Sus scrofa: one gene and its partner. The protein of the gene in region 1 purifies or fractionates together with the protein of each later gene. This does not show direct contact. Links are inferred from orthologs where the notes say so. Each region holds a gene or a part of one and is shown on either strand. Other genes may lie near its edges. The genes, in order: LURAP1 and CDC42BPB.

Region 1 (4,319 bases):
AGAGCTACAGCTGCCAGCCTATGCCAGAGCCACAGCAACTCAGGATCCAAACCACGTCTTCAACTTACACCACTGCTCATGGCAACGTCAGATCCTTAACCCACTGAGCAAGGCCAGGGATCGAACCCGCAACCTCATGGTTCCTAGTTGGATTCATTAACCACTGAGCCATAACAGGAACGCCCAAAGAAAATTTTTTTAATTAAAAGATAAAAAATAGGAGAGTTCCCATGATGGCTCATCAGGTTACCAACCCGATTAATATCCATGAGAATGTGGGTTCAATCCCTGGCCTTGCTCAGTGGGTTAAGGATCCAGCATTGCCATGAACTGTGGTGTAGTTCTCACATGTGGCTGGGCTTCGGTGTTGCTATGGCTGTGGCATAGGCCTGCATGTGCAGGTCCAATTTGACCACTAGCCCAGGAACTTCCATATGCCTCAGGTGTGGCTGTAAGAGAAAATAAATAAATAAATATGTAGGAGTTCCCACTGTGGTGCAGTAGGTTAAGAATCTGACTGCAGTGGCTGTGGTCACTGCAGAGGCATGGGTTTCGATCCCTTGCCTGGCACAGTGGGTTAAAAGATCTAGCATTGAGGCAGCTGCGGCATAGGTCACGGCTGTGTCTCGGATTCAGTCCCTAGCCTGGGAACTTCCATATGCTGCTGATGCAGCCATAATAAATAAATAAGTAAATAACGATAGAAATGTGTGGGACCAATGGAAGAAGGGAAATACAGATTGTGAGGTAAACCCATATTTTTCATAATAGGTAGCAGATCATGTGAAAGTTAAGACATAGTGCTACAAACCTATTTTGGAGTTATGAGTATAAGCACCAGGAAAACATAGCTAAAAGTAATTGCCTCTGGGTAGTGCGACTAGAGGCGGCAAAGAATAGGATGGCGGTAATAGCTATGTTTTCGTTACACATCTTTCTGTAATGATGGGCTTGAATAACTCGGATTGAAAATCAAAATCAAGCTAGAGCATAAAAAGTTTTTTATGGCACCTCATTGCCCGTAGAATAAAATCCACGCACAGAACCATCTTTATAACCTTGTTACTCAAGTGTGGTCCCTGGACCAGCAGCAGGGCCGTCGGCAGGGGGCTTGTTTGAAATGCAGAATCCCAGGCCCCACCCCAGATGGATGGAACAGTTATCTGCATTTTAACAAGATTCACAGAAACTTCACATATGCATAGTCAAGTTTGAGAGGCATCAGTTTTCAAGATCACGATGTAGCCCATCTGGACCCCTTCAGCTTCAATACTGGCTGCCCCTCATTGGCCAGAAGAACTTGACTTTCCACGCTTATAGTCTAAATTTAGTGGCTACACTGGTTTTGTGTGTGCGTGCATCAGTGGGTAGCTAAATTCCTCCACTGTTACAGACTCAGCTCCTCTACTCTAGGAAGCCTTCCAAAACCCTCTGCATCTCTGTTACCACTGTTCCTTAAAATCCCACATCCCTAACTGCAAATGCTTAACCTTCATTCAGCAAACATTCTTTGGGCGCCTGCTGACAACCTGGCTGGACTGAGTGCCAGAGTCGGGAGCAGGCGCTGAGCTCTCCTCCAGGTGCATAAGCAGGATCGCCCAGCCTCACCCATTTCGGAGCCAGCGCGCGCAAACACACGCAATCACACACGCACAAACACACAGAGCTCTGCGCGGCTTTTCTGAGGGTTACGGCGCCCTCCTCCCGCCCCCGCACTGAGCGGGCGGGGACCCACTGGTTCCGTACTAGCGGCCGAGGAAGGAGGACCCCCAGGAGCGGGATCCCGGCTCCGGTCGCCCATCCCTGTGCAGCCTTAGACCCGCATGGAGGGGACTGCGGAGTCCCAGACGCCTGACCTTCGAGACGTGGAGGGCAAGGTGGGCAGGAAGACCCCCGAAGGGCTGCTGCGCGGGCTGCGAGGCGAGTGGGAGCCGGGCACCTCTGGCGCCCTGCTGCTCCCAGGGGCGCCCAGCACCGGCCACGGCCTGGGGGACAAGATCATGGCGCTGAGGACGGAGCTGGTGAGTGTGGGCTCCATGGGCCAGGGGGCCGGAGACCCTAGCATGGGGCTGGGAGGGATGGACTCGCGCTCTCGGAGTTGGGCTGGAGAGGAGGGAGTTAAAACTCCCCGCCCAACTCCTCAGGATTCCGACCTAATCAATCTTTAAACCCTGGGGTCCTTTGAACGCCTTCCCCACCTAGGGTGGGTGGGGTGTTCGTGGGTCCTGAGGAATCAGGATGGGAGGTGCCGGTTTTTCTAAGTTTTTTTTTTTTTTTCCTGCCAAATAATTGGGAGGGAGAGGAGGGGACGGGGAAGCCCTGAGAACCTGGCGCAGCACAGATCTCCCGCTCCCCCTGACTTGGAGGCCACCTCTCCCGGCCTAGCCACCATTACAGGGCGACCAGTTTTTTCTCCTTCTGCAGACTGGGCCCAGGGTTTGTTCCTCTCAGGCCCCAGTATCCACCACAAGATTTCGCACAGAAGCGATATGGGTGAAAACTGCCTGGACTAGGGCCACTAAAAACATCCTCTTTCCTCAACACCCCCCCGCCCCCCCGCACCCACTTAAAATATTCAAAAGTTCCTAGAACCTTAGCAGACACACAGGAGCAGCGCCAGCAGTGTTGGTCCCATCACTTCTTCCTTTTTTTTTTTGGCTTTTCTAGGGCTGCACCTGAGGCATACGGAGGTTCCCAGGCTAGGGGTCCCATCACTTCTGACACAGTCTCCTTCCTGCCAACCCCCAAGTACACTGGATATTTGCATCTCATCTGAGGAGAAGCGAAAGAAGCAGGTACCCAAACTCCCCTTTCCTGTTGCTGCTCATCTAGATTCAGAGCCAAAAGGGCAGTTGGGCACACACTCCCCAGGCTCCCTGGTTCCGGGGAAGGGGGTGATTTACACCTGCCACCACTTTGCAGCCAATTCTGGGGAACTGAGGAATTGCCAGCCACTTTCTGGCCCAGAAACAGGAACCCACAGTAAATATGTCAGCGGACAGGTCTTCCTGGAGCCCTACTGTGTGCCCAGCTCTGTGCCAGGCTGAACTGTGGAGCGTGGGGAGAGGGTGGAAATGGAGGCTCCCTGACAACCTCAGAGGCTGGGAGGAGAGCTTTGTGGGCAAAGTAATCAGGGAAGGCTTCCTGGGGGAAGGGTTTGAATGCCCTGTGTCTACTTGGCCTGGAAGGTTGGAGCAATTGTTAAATTCTCCAGAGTAGGGCTGTAATTGTGCTGATCCAAGCGAGGGGTCCAGCTTTGTCTCGCTGTGCAAACTTTAGCTCAAGGCCTAGAAAGAGCTTACTCAGAGTGTCTTGCTCTGGAAACTGACTTCACCAAGTACAAGTGCCAGGCATCGTGTTGAGCATGTTACGAGTCCTCACAGCAGTTTATTAGGTAGATGGTATATTACAGATGAAGAAACTGAGGTACAGGGAGTTCCCTGGTGGCTCAGCGGGTTAAGGATCCAGTGTTGTCATTGCTATGGCTCTTGTAGCTGCTGTGGCTTGAGTTTGATCCCTGGGCCTGGAACTTCTGCATGTGCCCCCCCCCAAAAAAAGAAAGAAATTGAGGTGTAGGAGTTCCCATCACGGCGCAGTGGGTAATGAATCTGACAAGGAACCATGAGGTTGCAGGTTCGATCCCTGGTCTCGCTCAGTGGGATAAGGATCCGGCGTTGCCGTGAGCTGTGGTGTAGGTCGCAGACATGGCTGAGATCTGGCGTGGCTGTGGCTCTAGTGTAGGCTGGTGGCTACAGCTCCGATTAGACCCCTAGCCTGGAAAACTCTATATGCCGCAGGAGCAGCCCTAGAAAAAGCAAAAGACAAAAAAAAAAGAAAAGAAAAAGAAATTGAGGTATAGAGTCATACAAAAAGTGAAAAGCAGAACCAGGCTTTGAACCCAAATGATCTGCCTTTGCTTTACAGCTTCGCCATTGAGACCTGCTTCGCACCAGACACATGAAACGTTTTTTGCTGTCATTAGAGTTAGAAAAGCAATCATCATTTTCCCGTCTCACAGAGGAAGCACGCTTACACAAGTTAAGCATGCTTGCCTGCGCTGACAGTGGGAGCCAGGGAGTAGCCATGCCTAGTCTCTCTGGCTCTCTTTTCTGCCTTTGGAGATTATTGTTTATAAACTTTAAGGAGTACATTTAACTTTTTTTTTTTTTTTTTTAATGGCCACATCTGCAGCATATGGACGTTCCCAGGCCAGGGACTGAATTCCAGCCACAGCTGTGACCTACACTGCAACTGTGGCAACAATGGAGCCTTTAACCCACTGCCCCAGGCCGGGAATTGAACCCCCGCCTCCGCAGTGA
Region 2 (4,513 bases), on another chromosome or scaffold:
GTGGCCACAGTGGTAATGATGCCACAGCCTTAAGCTTCGGCGCCACCAGGGAATTCCTGACTTGTCTTCATAGATCAGTTTTTTTTTTTTTTTTAAATTTAGGGCTGCACCTTCAGCATATGGAAGTTCTCAGGCTAGGGGTCGAATTGGATCTACAGCTGCGGCTTACGCCACAGCCAGGCCAGATCCGAGCCACATCTGCGACCTACACAGCAGCTCATGGCAACCCGGATCCTTAACCCACTGAGCGGGACCAGGGATTGAACCCAAAATCTCATGGATACTAGTCTGGTTCCTTGCTGCTGAGCCACAAGGGGAACTCCTCCACAGAGTAGTTTTGCCACAGTTTCCTTTAGTGTTCAAACCCCTATCTGTCCCTCATCTGCTCCACTTAGCTGCCCTGCTTCTACTGAAGCCCCCTCTCTCCCCTCTTCCCCAAGTTAGGAGTCCCCCGGGTTTCTCCCCCTCATGGCCTTAGTGACCTCCCACGAGTTCTGGGTGGGATCCTCCTCTCCCGACGCCAAGAGCTCGTTTGGGTGGGCGATATTCTCCATCACTTTCCTTCTCCAGGCACACGAATGAACCAGCAGGAGCCGGCTGGGCAGACCCAGCCTGGAGACCAATGGCAGGCCGCTCCATATAGCAAACTGGTACCCTAGAGCATCTGCGTGGAGGCAAGGTTGGACGGTGGGGGTCCGCTCTCCAGCAGCTCCGCCTTGTCCCGGCCTCAGCCTCCCGTCCGTCAAGGCAGAGGTGGACCTGCGTTTACCGAAAGGCCGCTCCCAGACTCGACGAGCCCAGTTTTTAAAACAGCCAGGCCAGCCGCCCAGGCCACCACATCTGCCCCTGCGGGACAGCCCGCGACGCTCACATCGGCCCACCGGCCGCGAAGCTCCCAGGCAGGCCAGGGACGCCGGAGGCCGCCTCGGGCTCCAGCGTCGGGGGCGCGGAGAGAGCCGGGTCGCGGGCGCGCGGGCCCCGCACACACAGGCCGACCCCCGCGCGCTCGCGCACGCCGCCCGGGGGCTCTCCGCGCACGCGCCGGCGCCGCAATCTCGGCAGCGCACTGGCTCCTCGCTGCCCCGCCCCCGCCCCGCCGGGCGTCGCTCCCCTCCGCCCCGCCAGCCCCGGCCTTCCCAGCATCCCGGCCCCGCTACGGCAAGCGGCGAGGCCCGATCCCGCCGGGAGCCGGGAGCCGGGAGCGCAGGGGCGGGGCGGCGCGCTGAGGTCAGCGCGGCGGCGGCCGGCCGGGCCGTGGTTGGCTGGGCCCGCGCTGGCCGCGCCCTGGTTGGCTGCGGGCCGCGGGGCTGGGCCGCCGGGTCGGGGCTGGGGTCGGGGCTCGGGCGCCGGCCGGGCTTGCGCAGCGCTCGGCTCCGCGCTGCTCCTGGTGGCCTGCGGGCGACGGGCGGCGAGGGCGCGGCCGCGGGCGGGGCCGAGGGGCGCGCGGCGGGGGCGAGGCGAGGGCGGGCCGCGTCGCGCGGGGAGGGCGGCGGCGCCGAGGGGAGGAGACCGGCCCATGGACCCGCGGGGCCCGGCGCCCCAGACGCTGCGCCGCCGGGACCGAGCCCAAGATGTCGGCCTAGGCCGGGGCGCGACGACGCGGACGGGGCGGCGACGAGGCGCCGCGGCTGCCGGGGCTCGCGGCCGCCGGGCCCCCGAGGGCTCGCCCTGAGGGACTGGCCGAGCGGGCGGCGAGAGGCCGGCGCGTGGGGAGCGAGCCGCGCGGCACCATGTCGGCCAAGGTGCGGCTCAAGAAGCTGGAGCAGCTGCTCCTGGACGGGCCCTGGCGCAACGAGAGCGCCCTGAGCGTGGAGACGCTGCTCGACGTGCTCGTCTGCCTGTACACCGAGTGCAGCCACTCGGCCTTGCGCCGCGACAAGTATGTGGCCGAGTTCCTCGAGTGGGGTAAGTGCGCGCGGGGCCCCCGCCTGACCCTCGGCCCCTGCGACCCCCTCCCGGCTCCCTCCTCCCCGCCCTGCCTCCTCCTGGGCCTCGGGCTTCCGCTCATCCCGCCTCGTCACTGCTCCCAGCCCCGCCGCCCCGGCCCTCTCCGCCCGCCCGTTGCGCGCTCGCCCCTTCGCCGCTCCTGGTCCCGCCCTGCCCTCCTCCTTGGCCTTCGCACCTCGGCGTTCGGCCGTCCCGCCCCCTCATCCTGCCCCTCGGAGCCACATCCTCCGTTCCCACCCCCACCCCCACCTCCGCCGGGCCAGCGCCCCGGCCGCTTCCTAGATCCACCCTCCGAGTCTGGATATCGTTTCCTGCAGCTCTCCCAGGGACATCCGCCCCCGCCCCCGCACCTCGCCTTTGGGGTCCGGAGTCAGCGTCGAGGTCCCCCCCCCCCGCTGGCTTGTAGCGGCAGCGGCGTCGGCTTTTCGCGTCTGCCTCCCCCACCCCCCCGCATCTCCGGGGCGCCCCTCCTAGGTGACACCCTGTCTGCATCCCCTTGGTGTCCAGGGCTTCAACCCCCCTTTTACTGTACTACTTCCAAGGGTATTTTAGGGTTCAGAGCTTTATCTTGAATACGCCACGTGAGAGCAAATCGAGTTTTGTCATTGTAATCGTACCAGACCCGTGTAATATGGGGGGGGGAGGCTGGAATTGTTAGTATGTGGAAGTCACTTAAAAACTTAACTCATCCGGTTTTTGCATGCTTTCTCTAGTTGGAGCAGGATTCTAGAAATGCTGCAGTCATTGGTCCACTAAACTAAAACACTTTACCAGGACGATAATTTGATAAAGCTCTTTAATAGTGATCCTGAGAATCTGAAGAACAGCTGCAGGTGTAAAGCAAGCTCCTCTTAACTCTCTAACTCAGGCGACCTGTCAGGACCCTCAGACTCACCTGAAACTACTGATTAGGAAGATGAAGTGCTTATGTTCAGGGTTCAGGCCAAATCCATGGAAATCTTATCCTTTGCATCATTTGCGTCATTGGACTAGGACTGTTCAGTTTGAACCAGTAATTTCTAATCTCAAGGGCTGATAAAGCTGATATTTACCTGAAGAAACCAATGGCTGTATTCCATACTGAGGCCATCTACTCTGCCAAAGTGGTGATTGGAATTACTTAAGATGTGATGTTCTTTAGGGAGCTTCTTTTTTTAGCCCATTAGTGAAATAGTGGCATGATGTCTTGTGAGGGCAGTTGAAGGAGGCCCAGAGGCCCAGGACGGTCTGTTCTGCTTTATTTTGGTGGGGTTCTCCGTTCTAGGTTACATGCGGTATCAATAAAGTAAGGATGCTACTCACTTTCTGGGGTCGGCGACGTGATTTCCAGCGGAATGATCAGCAATTGTTGAAGATGGAGCCTTGGGTGCCTGTTGCGTCGGAGCCTGCTGAATGTTGAATTGGCCATTCCTTGCTGAGCATTTGACCTTTTATTTTATTATTCAAGGAATTTATCACATCTGTAGTTGTATAATGATTATCACAATCCAATTTCACATCTGGTCTTGAAATTGAGACATTTTCACAGCCATGTTCAGCTCAGTGCTTGGTGTGTGTGTAAAGGTGTGACTGTGAGGAGGCTGCAGAGGGGCGGTTGTGTTAGCAGGTAAGGTGGGGTCCAGCGGCCTGTGGCCTGGGTTCTGTGCGGTGCTCATTGGGTGGGTGTCCTAAAAGCTGGGCCCCCTGGGGGCCTGTGGTCCTTGTGCGACACCCTCACCACCAGATGGTACCAGGGATGGTGGGCTTCCCTGGAGGAAGCGCCTCTCAGCACGGCGGAGCCGTCGCTTAGAGATTTGGCTTTTCCAAGTCCAAACAGAAGCCGCGTGCTATGATAGAAAAATATTTGGGGAGTTTCCGTTGTGGCTTAGCAGTTAATGAATCTGACTAGCATCCATGAGGATGCAGGTTCGATCACTGGCCTCACTAAGTGGGTTAAGGATCTGGTGTTGCCATGAGCTGTGGTGTAGGTCACAGACTTTGCTTGAATCTGGCGTGGCTGTGGCTGTGGTGTAGGCCAGAGGCTGCAGCTCTGATTCGACTCAGCCTGGGAACTTCCATATGCCACGGGTACAGCCCCTAAAAAAGACCAAAAAAACCCCAAAAGATTCCTACTGCAGAGGTGTGAGTTCCATCCCTGGCCTGGTGCAGCAAGTTAAAGGACCTGGAGTTGGTGTAGCTGTGGCATAGTCCCAGCTGCGGCTCGGATCTGGCCTTGCTGTGGCTGTGGTGTCGGCTGGCGGCTGTAGCTCCAATTCGACCCCTAGTCTGGGACCCTCCACATGCCATGGGTGCAGCCCTAAAAAGCAAGAAAAAGAAATGTCTTGAAAATTGTATTCTGGCTTTTTGGAAATTACAATTACAAAAAAATTATGTTATCCTAGGAATTCAGTCTGTACAGAGGCGTAAACTTAAAATTACGCAGAAGGAGAATGGACTCTAATTTAAGGTGGCATTTTCATGGAGTAGTAATGTACTTTATTTTTATTTACTTTTTTCGCTTTTAAGAAAGTTTTTTTTTTTTTTTTAGTTTTATCGTAAGGCATTGCAGAAGCGGTATTTAATCTCG

The links.
Region 2: the proteins of LURAP1 (region 1) and CDC42BPB purify together in Homo sapiens (co-immunoprecipitation; 3 studies listed by BioGRID and IntAct, with this or other methods). This does not show direct contact. The link is inferred for Sus scrofa from reciprocal best matches to the Homo sapiens genes LURAP1 and CDC42BPB.

The regions. Positions count from the first base shown.
Region 1 is NC_010448.4:165,205,186-165,209,504, reverse strand, and holds the start of LURAP1 (leucine rich adaptor protein 1), read left to right. Parts: upstream 1-1,313; 5' UTR 1,314-1,823; coding exon 1,824-2,021; intron 2,022-4,319. UniProt on the Homo sapiens protein: Acts as an activator of the canonical NF-kappa-B pathway and drive the production of pro-inflammatory cytokines. Promotes the antigen (Ag)-presenting and priming function of dendritic cells via the canonical NF-kappa-B pathway.
Region 2 is NW_018084979.1:1,749,247-1,753,759, reverse strand, and holds the start of CDC42BPB (serine/threonine-protein kinase MRCK beta), read left to right. Parts: upstream 1-1,638; 5' UTR 1,639-1,730; coding exon 1,731-1,905; intron 1,906-4,513. UniProt on the Homo sapiens protein: Serine/threonine-protein kinase which is an important downstream effector of CDC42 and plays a role in the regulation of cytoskeleton reorganization and cell migration. Regulates actin cytoskeletal reorganization via phosphorylation of PPP1R12C and MYL9/MLC2.